Astyanax mexicanus: one gene and its partners. The protein of the gene in region 3 interacts with the protein of the main gene of each other region in a pairwise test. Links are inferred from orthologs where the notes say so. Each region holds a gene or a part of one and is shown on either strand. Other genes may lie near its edges. The genes, in order: zhx3b, ccnk and atxn1a.

Region 1 (7,639 bases), on a different chromosome or scaffold from region 3:
AAATCGAATCGAGGATTTAGAGAATCGTGACACCCCTAATATATATATATATATATATGTGTGTGTATATATATATATATATATATATATATATATATATATATATATATATATATATATATATATATATATATATATATATATATATATATATATATTCAAATAATCACTCACTCATTTCTCTTTTGTACCCCTTGTTTTTTTGTGTAACAGAGCTATCCCTTGCCCTAAGAATTTGTACAACCTTTTAAGCAGTTATAGTTATAGCAGTGGAGCGCTAAAGTTCATCAACCTAACTGCTGGTTAACTAGTTAATTTTATGGCCTTTTATGCCTTCAGAAAGTGTAAAAAATGATTATTGTCCGACCCTTAATTGGACTAGCTTTTATTTTATTTTTCCGTTTCACCTTAAATGCTGCAGCCATCTGTTGCACCATTTAAGGTGGACAGGAAAGTTAGCTAGCTACTGAACTACATACTGAGACAAACTACTTGTGAATTTCTTTGTGCTTGTTAGCCCTAAAATATTGAAACTACACATTAAACTATGGTAATACAGTGGTTTCCCCTCCCCCTCCATTCTAACAAGAATCGAGACACCCTCCCCCTAGGTGTGTACATGCAAAACAGAAGGGTAGGGATAAGTGGCTCAATTTAAGATAAATGTTCTTTCCTTTATAGCCTCTTTTAATCCCTTAACACTCTCTTACTCACATTCTCTTGTATTCTCTCACCATTAACACTGATAACTCGCCTCTTTTACACTTTTTACACTCTAAATACTCTCCTACTACTCACTTATTCTCTGTCTCTCCCCAGTCGTTATCACAATTTAATCTTGTTTACACTCTCAACTCTCTTTGTAATCTCTCTCTCTTCATATTCGAACAGTCTCCTTTTTTTTTTACTCACTCACACTGTCACTCCTTTATACTTATTTTCTTTCTCTCTACACTCTCATATCAATGGCTTTCTCTCCATTATACTCTCATACTCATTTATACTAACAACATACTAACATCTTCTCTGTCTTCTATATTCCATCATTTATACTGTCTTTGACTCTTTATACCCTCATACTCTCTCTTTATTCATATGCACTTTCATGACAAATTCAATATACTCCTCTTTATACATTAATACTAAAATTTTCTGTTTTACAGTCTTATTTAAACTCTCTCACCTTCTACACGTTGTATATAGATTTTTTTATACATATTTTGGACACTTCTGCCCTGTCCTCTACACTGCTGTAATATTGTAATTACTAAAGGATAATCTTATGCTCCAGTCCTCACACTCTTCCCTATACCCCTTATTTTTGTCTTTTATAGTTTTTCTTTTATACTGTCTGTCAGCTTTTGCATCCTCATACTCATTTGTTTACTTACATTTACACTCATTCATAGTCTTTACCATTAGACAAACATATTTTACGAATATAGTCTCCCTAATACTGTTTGTTTCCTTTATATATTCACATTCTCTCACTCTAATTTGTGTTTATACTCTCTTCTCTATACTTTAAGTCTCTTTCACCCTCTACTTCTCTTCTATACTCCTCTTACACTCCTTTTATCACCTTTATACCACAATACACATTCACTCACTCACTCACCTTCACTCCCCAATACTTCCATTCTCTCTGATCCTTTTATATTCAAAATAAACCTCTTTACACTTTTGTACTCATTCACACCCTCCTATTTAAGTGCTTATAGTCTCTCACACCCAGTCTCTATCGCTGTACCCATGTTTTACACTCAAACCTCTCACTTTTAACATTGTGTGCAATGTCTCTACTTACATACTGTTTGTTTACTTGGTCACTGAATACCAAAACACATATTTTGGGAAATTATTTTTCATTATCATATATTTTTGGTATATTTTTGTGTATATTTCCTGACATTTTTGTGTTGCTGTAATATTGTAAACTGGGTGGCATTAATACTCCATACTCTCTCTCTTTTTTACATCCTCATACTCGTATTTCAATACTCCCAATCTCTCTTTCTCTAAATCCTATATTCTCTGAACTACTCATTCTCTCTGATTTCTATACTCAAATACTCGTATTCTCTCTCTGATTACAATACTCAAAATACTCACATTCTCTCTCTGATTACAATACTCAAAATACTCACATTCTCTCTCTGATTACAATACTCAAAATACTCACATTCTCTCTCTGATTTCTATACTCAAATACTCACATTCTCTCTCTGATTTCTATACTCAAATCCTCGTATTCTCTCTCTGATTACTATACTCAAATACTCACATTCTCTCTCTGATTACTATACTCAAATACTCACATTCTCTTTTTGATTACAATACTCAAAATACTCACATTCTTTCTGATATCTATACTCAAATACTCACAATCTCTCTCTGATTACTATACTCAAATACTCACATTCTCTCTCTGATTACAATACTTAAACCCTTACAAACTCTCTCTCAATTATGTACTCAATTACTTACATTCACTGACTTTGATTTATAGTTACTCATATTTTCTGAATTCTATACTAAAAAACTCACATTCCCCCTCTGATTTCTATACACAAAAATGCTTAATTTTTTTTCTTTCTTTGACTTGTATAGCCAAATACTAACATTCTCTCTCTGATTACTATAGCCATATATAATGTGTTTATATGTACCTTATCCTCCCACACTGCTTTGCTGCTCACTGCTTTACTCCATGTGTTCAGTTTGACTCCGTTACTCTGAGCTGCTGATTCCTCTTTCTTCTTGCTGCTGCTGGTGCTGTTCTTCATTCTCGGGTTCGGGTTCTGGTTCTGTCTCGATCTCGGATGAGTTTTGTGGTTTTATGTTTTTAAGCTGCAGCTTCTTTTGGCTCTATTTCGCTTTCAACGCCGTTCATTAATGCTGTGTGCTAAAGCCTCACTGCGCATGCGCCTCTCTGGCCATTCAGACACTGCGACGTCTGTACTTCTCAACCAATCAGAAAATTTCCTTTAAATCCGAGAAATGGCAAGGAAAACACTAACAGCGCCACCTGTTGGAGAGGAGTGCGCAAGGAAGCGTTAAATAAATAAATAAATAAATAAATAAATAAATAGTGCACTATGAATTCAATTAACCATACAGTATTATTTTACGCTATATGATAATAAATCAACAATGTAAAAAAAGATAACTAATAATATTTAACTTAATGCATAGATTATTTCTCATTATTAATTAAAGTTATTTACAGTAGAGTTAAATAAAATAGTGAACAAGAAATAAAGTAATAATACAATCAAACGAAACCATAGTCAGTCATAAAACATTCAACATCAAAACAAAAATGACAAAAATACAGTTATATTAATACATACATTTATTTTTATTATTAATTAAAGTTATTTACAGTTAAATATATAAACAGTTAAATCATAAAACATTTGACATCAAAACAAATGACAATAAACAGATATATAGTTCAGTAAAAGTGTTTATTTCATTTTAAAAATGTTTTAGGAACATACAGTCTAGGTGAACGTGCAATAGAAGAAAGCATAAATGCAATACAGTTAAAATATTTCTCAAATTAAACAACATAATAAAATACATTACAGTCCTAACTCCCAAAAGTTAAAAGTAAAATGTGAACAATGTCAAGTCAATCCATCTAGTACAAATGAACAAGTACAAATAAACAGTGCAATGAAATTCTGTTCCTCCGGAACCAATACAGTTCAACATGGAACAACAGTACAATATAGACAACAATAAAGTAAAGATGTTCAACAAATTGTGCAACATAGAACTAGAACACTCTATAAATTCAGCAGACATGAGACAATATAGTAGACAGGACAGTGCAGTACCAACACATTACAGTCTATTTGTGTGTAAGAATAAGGTGTAGAGATTTGTAACATACTGTAACAGGTACATGGTCACAGCAGGTAGAGAATATACCTTACTAGGTGGTATTCAGAATTAGCAGCAATTATTGCTAATAGGGATGGAAACAGTTTCAGTCACTGTGTATTGAGAGTGTTTGTGTATGTGAGGACTGAGGGGGTCATCTACAATGCAGAAGTAAATAAAAAACAGAATTAAATCATTTTCCAGTCGAAATAAACATACATTTTATTCACAATATAACTTGGAACACAAATTACATGTGATTTCCATGATGTTCTATTTGTGAAAGGTCTGGAGGGCAGGCAGGTAAGTTCAGCATCCTAGCTCTTCTTCTGTGAAGCCATGCTGCTCTAATGGGTAAAGTATGTGATTTAGCATTATCTTACTGTCCAATATCCAATGCCTTTCCTTAAAAAAATGTTGTCTGGATAGGCACAGATGTTCTTCTAAAACTCCTCTATACTGTTCATAATCTGTCGTAATCTGTCTCTATGTGTGTCTATCTGCAAGGCTGCAGGCTACCACCATCCGACCGTCCCAGGGCGTTAAATATAACACAGGCATTCGCTTTCGGAACGAAGAATTTGCGTGCAGTGAAAATGGTAAGCAGTTCATAAGGTGACCACCTGGTGGTTGAAATATAACTGGAAGTTTTCCTCATGCTTAACACAAAGTCTCTTTACAGATAGAGTCCTACCTTTCAACATAGAGCCAATCAGCTTGCTGGTAAAGCTGGAAGAGGAGGAGGGACAAGGTGGCACTATTGGAAAAAAGCCCCTAATGGATGTAATTGTGGTTGGTGGGTCCTGGGTCACCCTGTCAGTCAACTGTGGAGCTTCAAAAGCGGCAAAGGTAAGCAGGGAAACTGTGCCACTCACAGGCTTACACAGGAAAAGCTGATGTGGACAGACTTAAGTGTACCAATGAGACACAAAAACAACTGATGACATGACAGTAAAAAAAAAAAACACAAATGAATACAACAGTAATGTTTAAAAATAATATTAATAATTTTGTGATGTACAATTTTTAGTTTAAAGCTTCGGGTTTGGAATGGTTGTGAAGCCTGGATGTCAGTCTGTCTATCTGTTTGCCTATTTGTTTGTCTGTTTATATATCTATATATCCTAGAGTTGGACAATATACTGATATTTAATTTTATTGTGATAAAATGTCTTACTATATTGATAATAAGCATATTGAGAATACCATCCGTGCTTAAAGATTTTTATTACAGAGAGTGATCTGTGCACGAAAGAGTATTTATATTGCAGGATCTGCCACTGCTGTTGCTTTTTGTCTGTCAAAATATGGCTTTTATACAGTTTGCATCCATATCAGAATTACATTCTATTGACTGAAATTAATATATATACATTGTAATATATATATATATATATTTGCCTTATTGTCCAGGCCGAACACATACCTTTTATTTATTTATCAATACTATATAATAGATCTGATTCTCTCAGCATTAACAACTATTTAAAAAGCTTATGACCCTTCTTAAAAACGGCGAACAAATAAAAAATAATGGACCTGTTTTTTGCATGTAAGATAATTAGCTCTAGCCCATTTATCTGTCTGTCTGTCCAAAATACAGACTAATACACACACACACACACACACACACAGGGGTGGACGTGTTGCTTGCTAGGTCAAAATTTCAGCAAAACATATATTATGTGTTATATGTGTTATAGATTTTTGCGTCTGGCCCTAATATATCCCTACTATTTATCTATCACTATTATCTGTCTGTTTGTCTGTCCAAAATACAGATAAATAAAGACCAAAAACAACTTCAATTTCACATTAAACAGCACCAGCACAAACATTTAAAAAAGAATGAACAAACAATAATGAAATAAATAAAAAATATCAAAAACTACCATTGCTTTGAGTCATAAAAGAAATATAAATCAGAATAGGTCATCATTTCTGATTTATGCTCCTTAAAACGCTGAGACAATTGTGAATAAAATATTTTGCTGAAATTATGACCCAGCAAGCCACACACACACACACACACACACACACACACACACAGAGGTGGGTGTGTTGCTGCTCCATGATGTCAGCAGGGCTGAGCTGATGACGCAGCGAGCCACGTGACCCGCGGAGGTGGGGGTGCGTTTGGTGTCTCTGGGCCTGTTTGAGCACAGCGGCAGCAGCAGCAGCGCGAGCGGAATAAACACACGCGGAGAGGAAGGAGCAGGAGGCCGCGAGACCCGACCGCTCACTGTCTGTATCTCTCACCTGTCTAACGCTAAGCTCTCCATTCATTTACACCCGCGCGCTGCCCCGGGGTTCTGTTTGGACCGCGCGAGCGCTCGGTAGGTCTACTTTAGTACCTGTTTCTCTGTTTAGGGGGGCGCGCGCCTGTGGGGGCAACATAAACTGTATGTAGAGTTTTGTTTGTGTGCGTGCGTGCGTGCGTGCGTGCGTGCGTGTGTGTAGGGGGAAAGTTGCGCGCGCACGATTTGGGTAACTGAGGTGTGTATTGGGTAAGATGGCGACAGTAGAGGTGGGGGGCGAGTCTAGTTTTTTTGGGGTGGGGGGGCTTTTTGGGTTTGATGTGTGTGTGTGTGTGTGTGTGTGTTGGTGTGTGTGTCGCCCCGACACACTCCAGATGGCAACAATTCATAGATCAGGTCCAGGCTGCTTTCAGAATTTCTTGGTGTGTGTGTGTGCTTTGGTTTTATTGTGTTACTAACACACACACACACACACACACAGTTATTCTAGTGTTTTGTGTGTGTGTGTTACAGCCTTTATCTTTATCTAATATATATTAATATAACATAGCAGCAACTATTGTTCAGCACCTCCTGGAACTCCTTCAAGATGCTGAGAAAACTATTCTAGCTGACTCTCCCTCATGAAGACACTGAGATTAAAATACCAAGAGTGAGCAGATCTGTCCTCAAAGATATGTGTGATACTTAATTAGAAGAATCTATAGTATAAAACACATTCTTGTTTGTTTAACACCTTTTTTACCTTAAAAAATTCCATGTTTAGCTGTATAGCTTTAATATCTTTCATTTTAAATTTTAAATGTACATTATAACAAAATAATAGTAAAAAAAAATCACATTGGATGAGAAGCGGTGTGTCCAAACGGTTGTCTACTACAGTAAACCACAGTATAAAATGTCAAAGTTTTGACAAAGTGGATTGCCACCCTATAATTTAGTGGTGTAGATGTAAACAGTTATTTAGCTTTAGGTAGGGCTAGAAAACATTTCAATATCAATATATATATATATATAGTGAAACGTTTCAGTGGTGGTGATTGCGGCATCTGTCCCTGATGGAGTTTATTACAGGGCACATTACATCAACTGGGAAACTCTTGTCATCAGGTAGTTCTGAGGCTTTATTTAGGTATTATCTATTTAAATTTTAATGTATTGACTGAAATGAGGAAATCTCTTGTGTTGTAAATTTGCCCATATCATCCAGCTCAGGTTCAGAGAGGATTAAGTGTGAACTTGTGAAATTTGCTGTAGAGAAACTTCACACAGTGATGCTACTTACTCTGGCGGGAAATGTGTGGAGAGAGTGAGATATGCCAAAAGTTTTATCGTAATATATCTTATTTAGGGATGCACAATGATATCGAAATTCTCTCTGTATTGAGCAATAATAGCTTTCTTTTAGAAACATTGGTTCAATGCCTATATTTGGCCAATGTTTTACACTGATACTTGCTTATGTATTTATTGTATGCTGGCCGACACTG
Region 2 (7,639 bases), on a different chromosome or scaffold from region 3:
TTAAAGTATTGAAGTAAAAAAATATTAACCCAAATTTATTAGTGTAGTTTGTTTAAACTAAGTATTAAGCTCGGTTTTACAACCATCAATACATGAAAATGTTAAAATTATTTAAAGAACTTCAAAGATGGTAATTAAATAAGTCAATTATATTTTGAAACTTTTACTAGGTAATTTGGTTCAGTTTTCTTAGACAAGTATTAAACCTAACCCTGGAACAGTGCAACAACTGAGGTTTTTACCAAGTAGCTGAGTAACTGGTAAGGGAGGCATTGGACTCTCTAGCCGTGGTATTTTAGAGCCAATTTGCTCTGCAAATAAAAACAAAAAAGGTTTAGCATGCATGAAGTTAAACAAAAACGTCATTGACAAACAGCACATTTGTAACCAGCTTAAATAGTTCTAGGAAAAAAGCCGATCTATACCTGTGGCAACTTTTGACTCTTCTTTTGGCGAAACCTAAAAAAAGAGGATTAAAAATAATTTTCAATACATAACTAGCAATTCATTTTAGTGGGGAGTACTGTTCATGACTAAAGATAAAAATGCTTACATCCTTGACAATTATGCCTCACTTCATGCATATATGCATAATCAGTCATGGGGCATATAACTAATTTTCACAATGATGCAAATCCTGACTGATTATATAAGAATGCTTTTTATTATGAATCCTGCTCTTGGTAGTATCCCTTACAAGTGGAGAAGATTTCCAATACAATTCGTGCAGTTGAAGAAGAAGTGGCATTTTAGGGTTAGAGTTACGCTTGGGTAAGCCCTGAATCTAAAAATCAAACACTTCCTTCATGGTGCAGCTATTTTTTCAACAATTAACAGTGTATTTGTATGTTCGCTACACATCTCACAAGCCATCTATCTGTAATGGACATGAAATAAAAGTTTAAACCAAAAATATTTGACATGGTACAAATGTACAGCTAAGCATTAATAATCTCAACATATTTACTTAAAATAAAATTAATTACATATACAAACATTAAATTAAGCCTTTCAACCCAACAACTCTGACAAAATAAATATTCAACTAACGTGCTGTCGTTTAAGCTGCCGTGGGGGGCTGGCCTGGGGAGAGTTTTTCTTAGGTGGAGGTGGAGCTGCAGGGTTTTGACCTCCAGACTGGCCTGGCTGGCCTGCAGGAGGTAGCGGTGGCTTGTCTTTCTCCTGCAACTGGGGCTGTTGTGGAATGGGCTGCTTGCCCTGAGAATATAGATCCAGGATTTGGTGGCAGATATCTGAGAAAGAAAGGCAAGCAATTATCTTTCAAACTTGCTATAAAGACTTTTGTGTCATCTTGTTCAGTTTTAGCACTCCCATAACACACACACACACACACACACACACACACATTTAAATACACATTAAAGCATCCTACCCTCCAACAGCTCCACAGGAACATCTTGCACAAACTGTTCCCACCAGCGACGGGATGACTGCTTGGAAGTCCATTCCTGAATGTCAAACTTGCACAGACGACCAGCCAAGTACATGACAGCAATAGCTATAATCTCTGGCTCCCACTGAAGAGACAGCATTGTGCAGAGGCTGGAAAAACCAAACAAAATTGCTTATACCACACAGTCTGCTTAATCTTTAATATTAAAAATGAATAATAATTCCCTAAATTTCACAATTGCAGATTGCTCTAATTTACAATAAACCAAACAGCTCTCCATGAGAAGGACAATTAAAATGCAGGTTGGTTTTAATGCTAACCTGTCATTCACAAAGGTCCAGGCCATTTGCACCAGCTTCTGCACTTTGTTCTTGTCTCCTGAAAAACAGCAGTTAACAAGACAAACAAACATGCAAATAAATAAACAAACAAAACCTAAATGTCTGTAATGCAACATCAAAAATGGCACCAAAATCATATACCTTTGAGTTGTTTGGCATAACGCAAAAGGAACTGATATGGATGCTCTACTTGCAGATCAAACTTTATTGTCTGAAGCAATATTCTCTCCAACACCATAACTTCTTCCTGTTAATAAAAGTTATACAAACCAAACTATTCACAAAAATCAACATTTACAGTACAGTTTGAGGTCAGAAATAGGCATGTTTTCAGAATCTGAATGTCTTCAAATCAAAACACTACAAAGTAAAAATGTAACAAAAAACTTAAATGTACAAGTCCATATGTTACATATGCCTTTTAGAAAACAATTTAAGCTAAATGTATTCAACTAGAGTGTTTGCTTCTTTGCAGCATCCTTCAAGCTATTTATTTTCAGAATAATGAAAAAACAATTAAACTGATCCAGCAAATATTCCAATGTGTAAAATGCTGACAAGACTGTAATCTCAACTTGTTTTACTACTTACATATGGAAATAAAATAAGGTGCTGAATACTTACAGACCTTACAGTATGTGCTTCTGACTCTATGTTTACCTTTGGATCATCCCCAAACTGGGCGAACTGCACATCATTAAGCAGGCTGCGAGCTGTTTTTATTATGTCTTTGCACTTTTTTGGAGTTTCCTCAACCTTTCCAGCCAAGAACAGACAGCAAGCCCCTGTGACCTGGAAAATTAAAGCAAAACAACCTCTTTCACCTAAACTGTTGTAGGACAATGTCAAGCAACATAATGATAAATAACCGTATTCCAACGGTACTGTTATGCTATGTTTTTTTAGTTGATAAGAAAATAAATGTTGACTTGTCACAAGTTTGTTAAAAGACTGTGCCAGTAACCCACAGGCATCCATGAACTCTTTCCACTTCTCGCCCCTCATCCCAACAATACTGCCCTCCATTAAAATATTACTAAATCATAGCTTATGAGAGATATTAGGTAAGACTCATGTGAAGCAGAGGTCACCAATATGGTTGGGCAGGACTGTCCTACCTGGACTTGTAAGCAATTTTAAGATGCCCATTTTATTCCTTTCATTTTTTTTATTTACTTGACAAATTAAACCATTTACTGAATATTAATTTATTGATCCGTTGTGATTTAAATTGCCATTGTCATTATTCAATTGCTGACTACATAAAATGTTGAGATAACCAAGCTACTTAATATACAGGATTTGTAAGCTTAATGGAAAGTTTTACATGTTGCCATTTAGGTAAGCAACTATACATTTTTTTTTCCTATATCGCTCTTTAAATAAAAAGTGTTACACTTTTACATTAATTTGTTAATTATTTGGAAAAACACTGGAACTATTTATCCCCTTGTTATTAAAATACTAATAAACCACGTTATTACACAAAGTCTTTGACCATTATCTTTATGTCAATAAATATTTATTATTAATTAAAATGCCTATTACATAAAAATAACATTTTAATTCATTAATATCTACAGACCCCCCAGAGTCCTACAAAGACAGAATACGACCACTTTGGCAAAACTACAATGGCAAAAAGCACATCACAAATATAATTATAAAATAATATATAATATGATATATATATATATATATATATATATATATATATATATATATATATATATATATATATATATATATATAATAAAAATATAATTATGGGCAGTATGCATCTGACTCCTGTTTTTTTTCTTCACAAATTTTTTTACAAACAAATCAGGAACTGTTTGTACACTGTAAATAGGATCCAGTGCAAATCTGGGGTGGTTTATCCCCATACCTACAGTACTGTTTCAAGACAGTGTTACACAGAGCCGGACCACACTTACATATCTCGGGAACTGCTTGAAGGAATGAAACATGTAGAAGCGATGGAAGTAAATAATCCCTGTGGCCAGAGTATCATAGTGTCTGTTGAAGGAGGAAATGTTAAGGGTAAACAGGTTAAAGCGGTAAGTCGCGCATCAGCACACAGTAATACAGGGTTTTAAAACAACACGAGCAGAAGGAAATGAAGGATACAGTCCCAGTCGAGTTCCAACGTCGAATATGAAGCGGGCCCCCTCTCTCCGGTATCGGGCCTCAGTGGCCGGATCCAGGCCCTCGGACTGGGATGGGGTGTGGGCCAGGTCCTTCTTGTCCCAGTACCAACATGGCTTGATGTGGTCCAGATTAGTGGTCAAGCTGCTGAGAGCGGAGTTCTCCTTGTTCTCCTTCATTTGACACAGATCGGAAGTGCTGCTCACAAAGCTGGAGGCACAAAGAGCTGCTGCTTCTCCTCAGCGCGGCCGGCGGACCCGCGGCTCCTTCTCACTGAAGCTCAGCTCCGCTCCTCTCCCTCAGCGCCCGCAGACTCTCCCGCAGCCCGGCCCGGAGCACTGTGAGAATACCGGCGCTCTACACCGCGTGCAGCGCCGCTTCTCTGAGCTCTCTTTCACACCTGAACACAGGAACACACACACAGCCGCACCGCACTCTTCCTCGCGCGGGGAGGACGCTTCAAACAGATAAGAGCGACGGTCGCCCCCAACTGGTGGAGAATGATTCTCCTCCGCTTGCTGCCTCTCCACTCTCTCCACAATCTCTCCACTCTCTCCACAATCTCTCCACTCTCTGCACCTCATGCCTGGAGCTCCCACCAACATGTGGTGGGATCACTTATCAAAGTAAAAAAAAGTATATACACTTAACTGGCATTAATTAGCATGCATATTGAACACAGCTAAACCTATGTGTGAAATCCTACATTATTTTTTTATGTGTATAATAACAATAACAACAAAAATAATAATAACAACAATAATAACAACAACAACAACAATAATAATAATAATAATAATTATTATTATTATTATTGTTTTTATTATTGTTATTATTATTATTATTGTTATTATTATTGTTTTTGTTGTTTCTGGTACAATGGACTACACAGTATTTTCATTGGAGATTTTCCATTTAAAGGAAAATAAGTAACAGTTTATGCTTTTTAAACTTTGTGATCATTGATGACACAGTTCATTTTGTTGTTAACTCTATCCTATTATGAGGAAATCTATAAGGGGAACACATCACATTTTCTTCACTGAAGGGGATCACTTTTTACCACAGTCAGTGGGGCCGTTTATATTTAAGTGAAGTTTAAAACAAAATAATCAATATTGAATTGATTGAATTAAGTTATAAATGTATAGGAATGAATGGAGATAAAAGGCTAAAAACTAAAATCAGTAAACTAAAAACCAGTAACTAACTGCTTGTCCAGGAAATGTCTTTAATTCTAGAAAGTTGATGAGCTGATTATGAAGTAGCAGCCAGAGCACGTCTGAAAACGTATAGGCTTACATGCCTTCATTACTGAAATATTTACTGTGGTTCTATATTTAGAGAATATTTTTTAAACATAGATGAGCTCTTGTTTTGATTATTTGCTCCATGTGAACTCATTTACCCGGGGAGACTCTCTGGCGGGTATTCCTCCGGTCAGTGTGGGCTGCTGAAGTAGCGGCGCCTGTCCTGTAGGGGAGTCAGCCTGGTATACTGGCCCTGTTAATATCGGTCCCACGACTGAGGAGAAACCACTAGCCGGACAGGAGAGCGTTCGTTAAACTACTTAACTGTGATGGAGTGGTTTACCCTACTTCTCTTAGTGACTGTCGTCGTCCTTTGTTTTCGGCTTCTCTTCCTTCAGAACAACCCGAACGCCCCTCCGTGCATCAGAGGATGGATCCCGTGGGTTGGAGCTGCCTTTGAGTTTGGAAAAGAGCCTCTGCATTTCATTGCACGTGCAAGAGCTAAGGTAAGCGTCTCAGTGTTAAAAGCAGCACGTCCTGCAGACCTTATATTGTCCAAAATGCCATATCAATGTTAAATTCCTACTGTAACAGCTTTTTTATACCTGTTTTTTATATTTTTATAGCAAGAAGGGGCACTGTAAAAAAACATGATGGATATGTTTTTTTCACTACAGTTTTTTAGGAGATGCACTACATTTACAGACTTTATAAGATAAGTTAAAGCAAACACATCGACTGTTGTACAATATTACGTATTAATGTTTCACAGTTGTCAGTGTTGTTTCACATTAAGGAGTTTTGAATATATAAAAGTAATAATATAAAAATTAATCTGCAGTAAAATCAAATCTAAAATCAGATTATCATGGATGTTATTTACAAGTCCCTAACATTTCATGTACTCCTTATAAATGCAGCCTCCTGAATAGCCAGATGTTAATGACATCACACTCTGCTGATCTTTAGAGGACTATGAAAGGTCAGAAGTCCAGCTCCTCCCCTTTCAGCAGCAGTGTTGAGTGTCTGTGTTTGGACACACAGAAACACAGTAGAGTTGCTGTATCATAGTGTATCATAGTATCGTTGTGAGCAGGTAGAAGTGTTGAGAGAAACACTGATGAGAGACAACATTTATTTTAGTTGTCAAGCTATTTCAGCATTGTCTTTTAATTTAGACTCAACCACAACATGAGTAAAACAACTACAACATACAATTCTCAGAAAGTAAGTTTAGCTAACAGCTTAACATTTAAATTTGATTGATGCTTATTCATTTTGATAAGTATTTTTGGTATGATATCTGCAGAAGAAAAAAAAGAAACATAATTTGTCCATTTCTTTCTATGGGATAGTAGATAAAGACAGTAGACAGTAGTCTAATTTCAAAGGCAGTGGACTTATTTAATTATTTGAATTTAAAACAGACAGTTTTAAAGTTTAATGTGTTTCAACAACAACAAACTACAACAACAACAAAACTAAAGTTATAGCTGGTCTGGACATCATGCAGCATGTAAATAGTATTTTGTGTTGTTGTTTATTCTTCTAAATGAGCATGCTGTATTGTTTTCCAGTATGGGCCTGTCTTTACAGTTCTTGTTGCTGGGAAGCGGCTGACCTTTGTTACGCTCCATGAAGACTTTCGAACCTTTTTCATGTCCAAAGATGTTGATTTTGAACAAGCAGTGCAAGAGCCTGTTCGCAATACAGGTAATCTTCTTTGCTTCCCATGACTCTAGTAACTCGAACTGTGTTTGCAGTCATTTGTGTTTGTGTAAGTAATATATATATATATATATATTTTATATTATATTATATTATATATATATATATATATATATATATATATTTTTTTTTATATTATATTATATTATATATATATATATATATATATATATATATATATATATATATATATATATATATACACACACACACAGTACATGCCAAACGTTTGAACACACCTCTTTTTCAATGTGTTTTCTTTATTTTTATGACTATTTACATTGTAGATGTACTTAACAAAAAATATTCTATTTTTTTTTAAATAGCCACCCTTTGCTCTGATTACTGCTTTGCACACTCAGTGTTGCCAACTTAGTGACTTTGTCGCTATAATTGGTGAGTTTTCAGACACTCTAGCGACTTTTTTGTAAAAAAAAGCATGTGCTGCCGTGAGCCCCGCCCCACAATACTCACAGTGCAGTCTCTCACTCAGAGCACACCCATACCGCACTACGAATACACTGTATATCAACTGCGTATGCTCACAGCCGCCACTGACTGACCCCGCCCCGTATTTACAGAACAGGATGTAAATATAAAGGTGTCTTCAATGTGACACGAACAGCAATCACTACATTTAACTCACAGTCTCAGTCAGTCACTTACCTCATTCACCACACAGCCTATCACTCACCTTGTCCACAGTGTCTGCCTCTTTGTAAAAAGCTAAACATCTAGCTAGCTAGCTCATCATTGAA
Region 3 (7,639 bases):
GTAATCCTTCTATATAGGCACTAGACAAACTGTGCATGTATGTGCATTTGCACATCTTTGTCAGCAATGGGTAATCAACTTAAAGCAGCTCAATGCATTAATTAAAATGGGTATCCACAAAGTGAACCACAACAAAGGTTCTCGCAAAACTGTAACTCAATATGGCAGTTCCAAATAATATAGATAGCAGTGCAATCACAACTAGGGTGTTTTTTCTGCAGCCCTAACACACACACACACACACACACACTCATAATCACACACAGACACACACACACCTGTAAGGGAGTGTATGCAAAGATCTTGTCCGGATAGGCCTAATGTGACAAAGTGTTCTCAGGAAAAAGTGAAGGTGAAGCCAAGTTTTTGAGGCTGTTGCCAGTCACGCCCCTTTCGCAGCGTTAACTAACTTTTAGTTCTTCTGTCATTGGCTGACACTACCCCTGTCAATCACAGCTGTATTATGTAAGCCGTATCTGCAGGTGGAGGTGTGTCCCTCCATATTTCACTGGCACTCGAGCGTGAAAGGTTAGCCTCGCCTGCACCTGTCACCCGCTCGCCATGCTCCAGCTCACTGAGCCCGTTACGACACATTTAGTGCCTTTAAAGGTGCAGCTGCACTTACACAGAAACACTGACAAGAATGAGCAACTTAGGAGCCAGTGGCAGGTGTGTGTTAGGGTGTATGTGGGTGTGCGCATGTGCTTGTGTGTGTGTGTGTGTGTGTGTGCAACACAGACAAATGAGCTGACGCACAAGCACGCTTGTGATTAGGCCACACTTTGTCTTAATTACAACTCATCAGCATTTAAAATTAAGTGGTGCTGAGGATAGATCAACACTGGAGGCCTGACACAGCACCACAATAGGCTCCAAGCACATCTTCACAGAACAGCCATAAGCAACGGCTCCACAACACTCCTCGCTCAGCTCTTATGATCTTACAGCTGCACGATACAGTCTAGTTAGAGGATCATATAACCAGAGCAGCTTGGAAAGGAGCGAGAAACACAACAGATCCGTCCCTCTCCGTGGCATCCTGAGGCTTGTATAACTGTTTCACTTATGTCTGTATCAGCAACACTCCCTCTTCGGTTGCTAGATGCATTAACGCCTCCGTGTCAGACTCTTGAGATTAAAAACTTTTTTTTTTCTCGCTTGGAAAACAACATATCTGCTCCAGTTCTGCTCCAGTGAGCCACTGCCAGCTTGAGCAGGGAAACCAAACAGCCTGATCACATACATGACATTATGAATCATCTGAAAACAATGCGACTGTATTGGTTACTCATTACTCATTCATTCAATTATTCATTCATTCATCCATTCATTCATTCATTGTTTCATTTATGAGTGCTTAATGAAGCTGACTGAGCTTGTGAAGATACATGAACACCTCAACTGCACATACAATGCTATAAATAACCGAAAAATGCAAATACATTTATTTATTTGTTTGTTGTTTATATTTGCATTAAATTGACCTGCATTAGATCAATAAAATGAGTACCTTGAGCATCAATGTGACAAGAAATGGTTTAAAAAAGTGCATTTCCTTTATGCATTTATTTTATTTTAGTGATGTAGGCCTATTTATATTTGCATGCAGTAAAGTAGCATGTACTGGATTGTACTGAAGCTTAGTATTTGAGCACTTCTACTTCAGATCAACATCCATTTGATGTCAATAATCTAGAAACTCCTAATTATATATATATATATATATATATATATATTAATATTATTATTACAGTATCACTAATTCTGTTATTATCTTTAATAATCTTAAATAATTAACTTCCTATTTTAGCAATAAAGTAGCTTTTTATTGCACAGGGAATGTGGGCAGGTTGTGAATGACAGTAAAAATGCAAATACATTTAGATATGCTGCATTAAAATGACCTTTCTTGGACAGGGGCTTTTAATTACCCTTTTTACAATAAAGTAAGCTTTTTTAGTACAGGAAATGTAAAAGGGCAAATACATTCTATTTATTTATTTGCATAGGCATTGAAAAAGTTTCTCTTATTGGACAGGGACTTTTAAGTACATTTAATTCTTTATGATATTAACAAATTATCAATAATTCTGTTTCTATATAATTTTAATAAATATGGTTGTGACTGATTGTGAATGGCGGTTAAATGCAAATAAATTCTATTTATGTATTTATTTATTTACATATGCATTTAAGTGACCTTAATTGGAAGGGGACCTTTAAATACATTTAATGTTATTACATTTATTTCTATTATGTTATTAAAATAGTATCATTAATTCTGCTTCAAATTCGATAGTTGTCAGTTAATGGTTATCTATATTTTGATAAATATGTTAATTATTTTATTTTATTTTTGTGATAAAGTAAGCTTTAAACGTGCATTTGGATAACTGTACCTGGCAACACTGTGTTCTCCTTTTGTTATTTATTTTATTGTATATGTTTTAGGAAGGCAATTGTATATTTTATTTTCTATGTTTTTGTTGTTGTAAAGCACTTTGTGTCTACTCTCTGTGAAAAGTGCTGTATAAATAAATTTTACTTACTTACTTTACCACACTGGGAATGTGAGCAGGTTGTGAATAACTTAAAATTGAAAATACATTCTATTTATTAATTTATTTGTTTGTTTATGCATTAAAGTGATCTTTATTGGACAGGGTCAGAGGGCAACAGTCCACCCCTAGGCAAATGAAGTCAATTGCAATTATACATTATTATCAAAATAAAACTATTTTGTTTATATAATACAACTATTATTATTATTACTATTTAATAATTCATATATTTTATTGACTGCATAACTTTTTCTCTTTATGCAATACAGTAAGATGAGCACGAGCACCTTCATCAACTGTAATGTTCCATATTTTTTTTGCAGTTAAAATAAACAGCGATATTTTTAGGAAGTCATATATATCTCCGTGTGTTTAAGGCACAGTTATAAAATAATGTGAATGTAAACTAACAGAAGAGGAGGAGGAGAAGGAGGAGGAGAGAGGGAGATACTGTAAGCTGGAGCAGAAGAGATCCCAGCAGCTCATTATATAACCAGCAGAGCTGGACTCACACACACTCACACACACCGGAGGCTAACTACACACACACGCACACAGCAGTGTCAATGAAACACACTCAATCCCGCTTTAAGTAGAAACAGTATGAATGGAGGAGCTGAACTCCAGCTGCTGTTTGTCACCTTTACTCAGCGCGGTGGTGGCTGAGGAGAGAGAGAGAGAAAGAGAGAGAGAGCTGTCAGTAACGTTAACTCAGGCGCCCCGTTTCTACGAATAAACAGCGTAGCGCGTAGCAACACTTCCGCAATTGTGTGTTTTCTGGTTCAGCAGCCCGATTCCCATAAGCGAGTCTCCTCAGCTAGGAAACAGAGACAAAACTACGCTAAAAAGCCACGACAAGCGACACGCTGGCGGTTTCCAAAAAGTACAAACGACTATCTAGCGCTGTGCGAAAACACGGAGCCGTGTGTAGCTTAGTTAGCGGAGAAGCTTGTGGGGAAGTTGGCCAGCGCCCTCTCCTCCCTCAGCAGCCCGGCCACAGCGCGCCCTGGCCGGCTTCGCCTCGCCCCAACCCCCGCGCTCTGACTCCCTCTCTCCCACTTACTCTCGCTCACTCTGCTCTGCGCTTCGAGTTGTTGTGTTAGTTTTAGACTCACTTAACAGCCTCCCTGCACGGTGTCATCCAGTCAAACTTACTGTATCAGACGCACGGATTTGGATAGAGCAGGTAAAGTAAGATAAATATTCAGTTTTTAGCTTTATTTTTGTATTTTTTTTTTTTAAATATGAACGCCAGTCTCTGATCCGCTGCGTCTCCTTTTCGCTCCAGCCATTTTATTCTCTCTCCGCTACTCTCTCTCTCACTCGGGGTGGAAAGGCAGGTAAAAGTGGCAGGAGAACCGGTGAGCATTGGGCGGACTTACTGTGCGCTGTAGCGGGCAGTGAAGTGCGCGGCTCTCCGTGTTGGGGCTTCCTGCGCCCGCTTTAGCCGGTGGAACCGTCTCCCCTCAACTAGCACGACGTCTGCTGCAGCAGAGCTAATAGCTCTGTGGCTCTATGCCCCCACCTCCTGGAAGTGTGTGACCGAGGGAGTGAGTGAGTGCGTGCGTGCGCGCGTGTGTGTGTATGTGTGTATGTGTGCGTGCGTATATGTGTGTGTGTGTGTGTGTGTAAGAGAGAGAGAGAGGGCGTGTGTACGTGTGTGAGTGTGTGAATGTGTAACCCAAATATGGAGCAGTTGGCCGGCCCCGTTAGCTGAGGGCTTTGAAGCCTGGGCTGTTTCATAAAAAAAAACCCGAGGAGGAGGGGGGCAGCCTTTAGCAGGGCTTACTTACTTACATTCAGAGTCAGTTCAGAAGCAGCAGACTGGAGACTTGTGCATAAATCTGTTAGAGGTTATAACAGACTAAAAAGGGCATGCATTGAATGCAAATGTTAGCTTCACTTATAAAAGAATAAAAGCACTTTCAAATGACCATGTCAATGTCATAATGGTACTGCGTTCAATCTGGGACACCATCACTGCAATAAAGTGTGTAGGCAGTATACTGTACACGGACCAGCCATAACTTTAAAAGCACCTGCCTCATATTGTGTAGGTAGGTACTAAAACAGCCTTGACTTGTCAAAACAAGGACTTCACCACAATGCACCGCTCAATTCAGTTCCATAATACTGATACAGAGCTGTACACTACAACAGGACAAGATCTCCAGTGCATTCCAACACTTCATGATCAATTTACAGTACATACTAATATCCCATTCAAATATTAGCATCAGATCTTTTTTTAAACATGTTTTTGCTCCCTATAAATACTGGTAGTTTACTTGCTGCCTAATATTTTATATCACAGCCTTAGCAGGCATTCTAGCATTCACCATTATTGTCATCATACTGACACAGGGTTGTACAGTACACTATGAGAGAAATTATATACTACTATCCCGTGACTTTTGGCATGTCATTCAGACATTACCATCAGATCTTTATTTTTAAGCATGTCTTTGTTCCCCGTGAATATTAGGCCACTTTTTTGTAGGTACTGACCGTTGTATACATGTGAACACCCCACAAGACCTGGTTAATTTTTCGGATGTGCTCTGACCCAGTTATCTAGCCATCACTATTTAGACCATATCAAAGTGGCTTCCTGCTTCCAACACATCAACTTCAGGTACTGACAGTTCACTTGCTGCCTAATATTGTATATTCCATCGCTTAGCAGGTGCAATAGTAACCAGATAATACTGTAAATGTTATTCATTTCACGTTGTTAGTGTTACTGTAAATAAGTAGGAAGTAAAAATCATGCAACGCATACAAATATATAAAAATCCGTAAAATCAACACAATATGCTCAAAAAGGTCTGCCCATAACCCATTTGTATAAAGTTGTATAAAATCCCAAACCTCTACTTCAATAATCAAAGTATAAAATTTGTTAAAATAATTTTAGTTATTATTTATAACTTTGTATTTTGAACCATTGAACTGTTTGAAAGAGCTTAACCCAGCAAGTCTGTCAACTAACTTATATATAATAAGAAATTATTGTTATTTTTTGCTAACAAAGCTGGTTTAAATATTAACAACTATTTGTTGATTATGTGCCCCATACACTGTACTAGTAACATGTAGGTTTAAAGGTTTGAATGTTTAATTGAAGGTTTGAAGATATGCCTGTATTCACCTGAAATGGTTACATCATATTCACATTATATAACAGGTGCTAACCTTGTGCTCTGAGATCAAGATCAAGAACTCCCAACCATACACAAATACAACATGGAACAAAACAACGTTCCTCCTGGATCTCAGTGCAACATACACACATGGCCTGTGTTTACAGCACCACACGATACTGTACACAACACATCGCAGTACATTATGAGTCCAAATACCTTTTACATAATGCTGGAATTGGCCTAAACCACAAAGGGTAAGACAGTACTTCTAATAATAAACACCCTTATCCTTTTGTGTGACATCATTAGGAGTTCAGGGTAAGTAGAAGTGCTGATAACTGTGTAAATAAACAGAAATCTTAAATGTAATTAATTTGGGTTTGTTATGTATTTGTGTTTAGTATGTATTCATTTTTTTAGTCATTTTATAAAGTAAAAATGATCTCATGTTGGCTGATTTTCCTGTTTATATGCAAATTTTATAACTTCCCTTTTTTTAGTACACTAAATGTTTGAAATTGGAACACACCTTCTTTTAAATGTCTTTACCTACTTCAAGTTACACCCATCGTTGACACAGAGTTGCTAATGCACATACACAGCTTATCTTGTCTAAAGGTTTGTATTGCAAAAAATTGGGTGTCGATAAAATGTCGTATAAAAGTCCCCAGTATTGAGCTGTGAAACAGTGGAACTGTGTTCTCTGGAATGGTGGAGCTCCATCCAATACATTTGGGATGAGTTAAGGAAGAGTTGGGGTGATGATCATCCAAACATCTTGTCCTCTCTATTGCTCTTGCTGCTGAATGCAATTAAGCAATGCTCCAAAGTCTAGTAGAAATCCCTGGAGAGTAAAGACAGTTACTCCAACAAAAGCATGAAATACTCTTTTAATACCCTTAGTTTCAGAGGAAACAATGAATGAGCAGCTTTCTCGGTACTTTTGGCAATATAGTATATGACTTTTCTTGCTACAGGCCGTGTAAGCTTTGGGGAAGTTACCGGAACCCCGTTACCTCAGGTTTAAAATTCTTGGAATCCACCTTCATAGCTGAGAGAATGTCTTCAGCAGTCCTCACTCAGAAACACTTAAAAACCACAGGTGAAGTTTAGGGGTGACAGATGCAATTGCGAATGAAGACACAGAGAAAAACATCAAGCTCTGCCCATTAAAAAGGCTTTTAGACCACCACTCACAGTTAAAACCCTGTAAACAAGCTGGGAAAATGTAAGTGCATTATCTCTGCTGCTGCTTGAGTTTTCGAACATTCAATTTAGGGCCAGAAATGTTATTTACTCAGAGAGAGGCCGGCAAAATCACTGTCATTTTTTCTTCAACATGACTCGGATGGGACTTTTCCAAAGTGTTTGTCGCTATGTTACTGTGGAGACCACATACTCTACTCGCTCCACCCGGGAATATATTACCATTCCTGCCCTGTTCAGCTACACTGACTGCACAATACACAGGCCTGTTCATGCAAGATATAAATAAATATATTTGAATGCCACAATTTATAAATTAAAGAGAATGGGAACAGCTCTCTTAAATAATACTATTTCTGATTATTGTGTTTGTTTAAGTGAGAGAGAGTGAGACAGTATAAGAGAGAGTGACACAGAGAGAGTGAGAGTGTGTTTTTAGCTCATGTTTACCTCATTACATAGCTGTTCTCTCTGGGCATGGGACTGTATGTGTGCTGCGTATGAGTGATCTGCCCTCAAGGAATTTCATAGACATACACACATAAACACACACAGTCTACCTTCAACAAAGTGAACCTCAGGAGAAATGTACCAGAGATGGGTGTGAACAAATTTTCCTATGTGTGAATTTATATTTCTGAGCTTGTGAGGACACTGAGGACACTCAAAGCAAAATGGTTTCTTTTTAGTAGTGGACCCCCTTTTAAAATCATTTTAAAAAGATAG

What was found.
Region 1: the proteins of atxn1a (region 3) and zhx3b interact in binary tests that used the Homo sapiens proteins (3 or more experiments, as listed by UniProt). The link is inferred for Astyanax mexicanus from reciprocal best matches to the Homo sapiens genes ATXN1 and ZHX3.
Region 2: the proteins of atxn1a (region 3) and ccnk interact in binary tests that used the Homo sapiens proteins (3 or more experiments, as listed by UniProt). The link is inferred for Astyanax mexicanus from reciprocal best matches to the Homo sapiens genes ATXN1 and CCNK.

Annotation. Positions count from the first base shown.
Region 1 is NC_064420.1:49,085,768-49,093,406, forward strand, and holds the start of zhx3b (zinc fingers and homeoboxes protein 3), read left to right. Parts: upstream 1-3,944; 5' UTR 3,945-4,490; intron 4,491-4,573; 5' UTR 4,574-4,740; intron 4,741-6,007; exon of another isoform or gene 6,008-6,227; intron 6,228-7,639. Other genes in the region: uncharacterized protein RAB5IF, read right to left, coding at 2,670-2,786. UniProt on the Homo sapiens protein: Acts as a transcriptional repressor. Involved in the early stages of mesenchymal stem cell (MSC) osteogenic differentiation. Is a regulator of podocyte gene expression during primary glomerula disease. Binds to promoter DNA.
Region 2 is NC_064408.1:54,982,634-54,990,272, forward strand, and holds the start of ccnk (cyclin-K), read right to left. Parts: upstream 4,413-7,639; 5' UTR 4,083-4,412; coding exon 3,886-4,082; intron 3,775-3,885; coding exon 3,693-3,774; intron 2,548-3,692; coding exon 2,416-2,547; intron 2,003-2,415; coding exon 1,897-2,002; intron 1,793-1,896; coding exon 1,735-1,792; intron 1,564-1,734; coding exon 1,394-1,563; intron 1,254-1,393; coding exon 1,051-1,253; intron 460-1,050; coding exon 426-459; intron 312-425; coding exon 243-311; intron 1-242. Other genes in the region: 24-hydroxycholesterol 7-alpha-hydroxylase, read left to right, coding at 5,483-5,659, 6,731-6,866. UniProt on the Homo sapiens protein: Regulatory subunit of cyclin-dependent kinases that mediates activation of target kinases.
Region 3 is NC_064410.1:43,977,901-43,985,539, forward strand, and holds the start of atxn1a (ataxin-1a), read right to left. Parts: upstream 4,120-7,639; 5' UTR 3,944-4,119; intron 1-3,943. UniProt on the Homo sapiens protein: Chromatin-binding factor that repress Notch signaling in the absence of Notch intracellular domain by acting as a CBF1 corepressor. Binds to the HEY promoter and might assist, along with NCOR2, RBPJ-mediated repression. Binds RNA in vitro.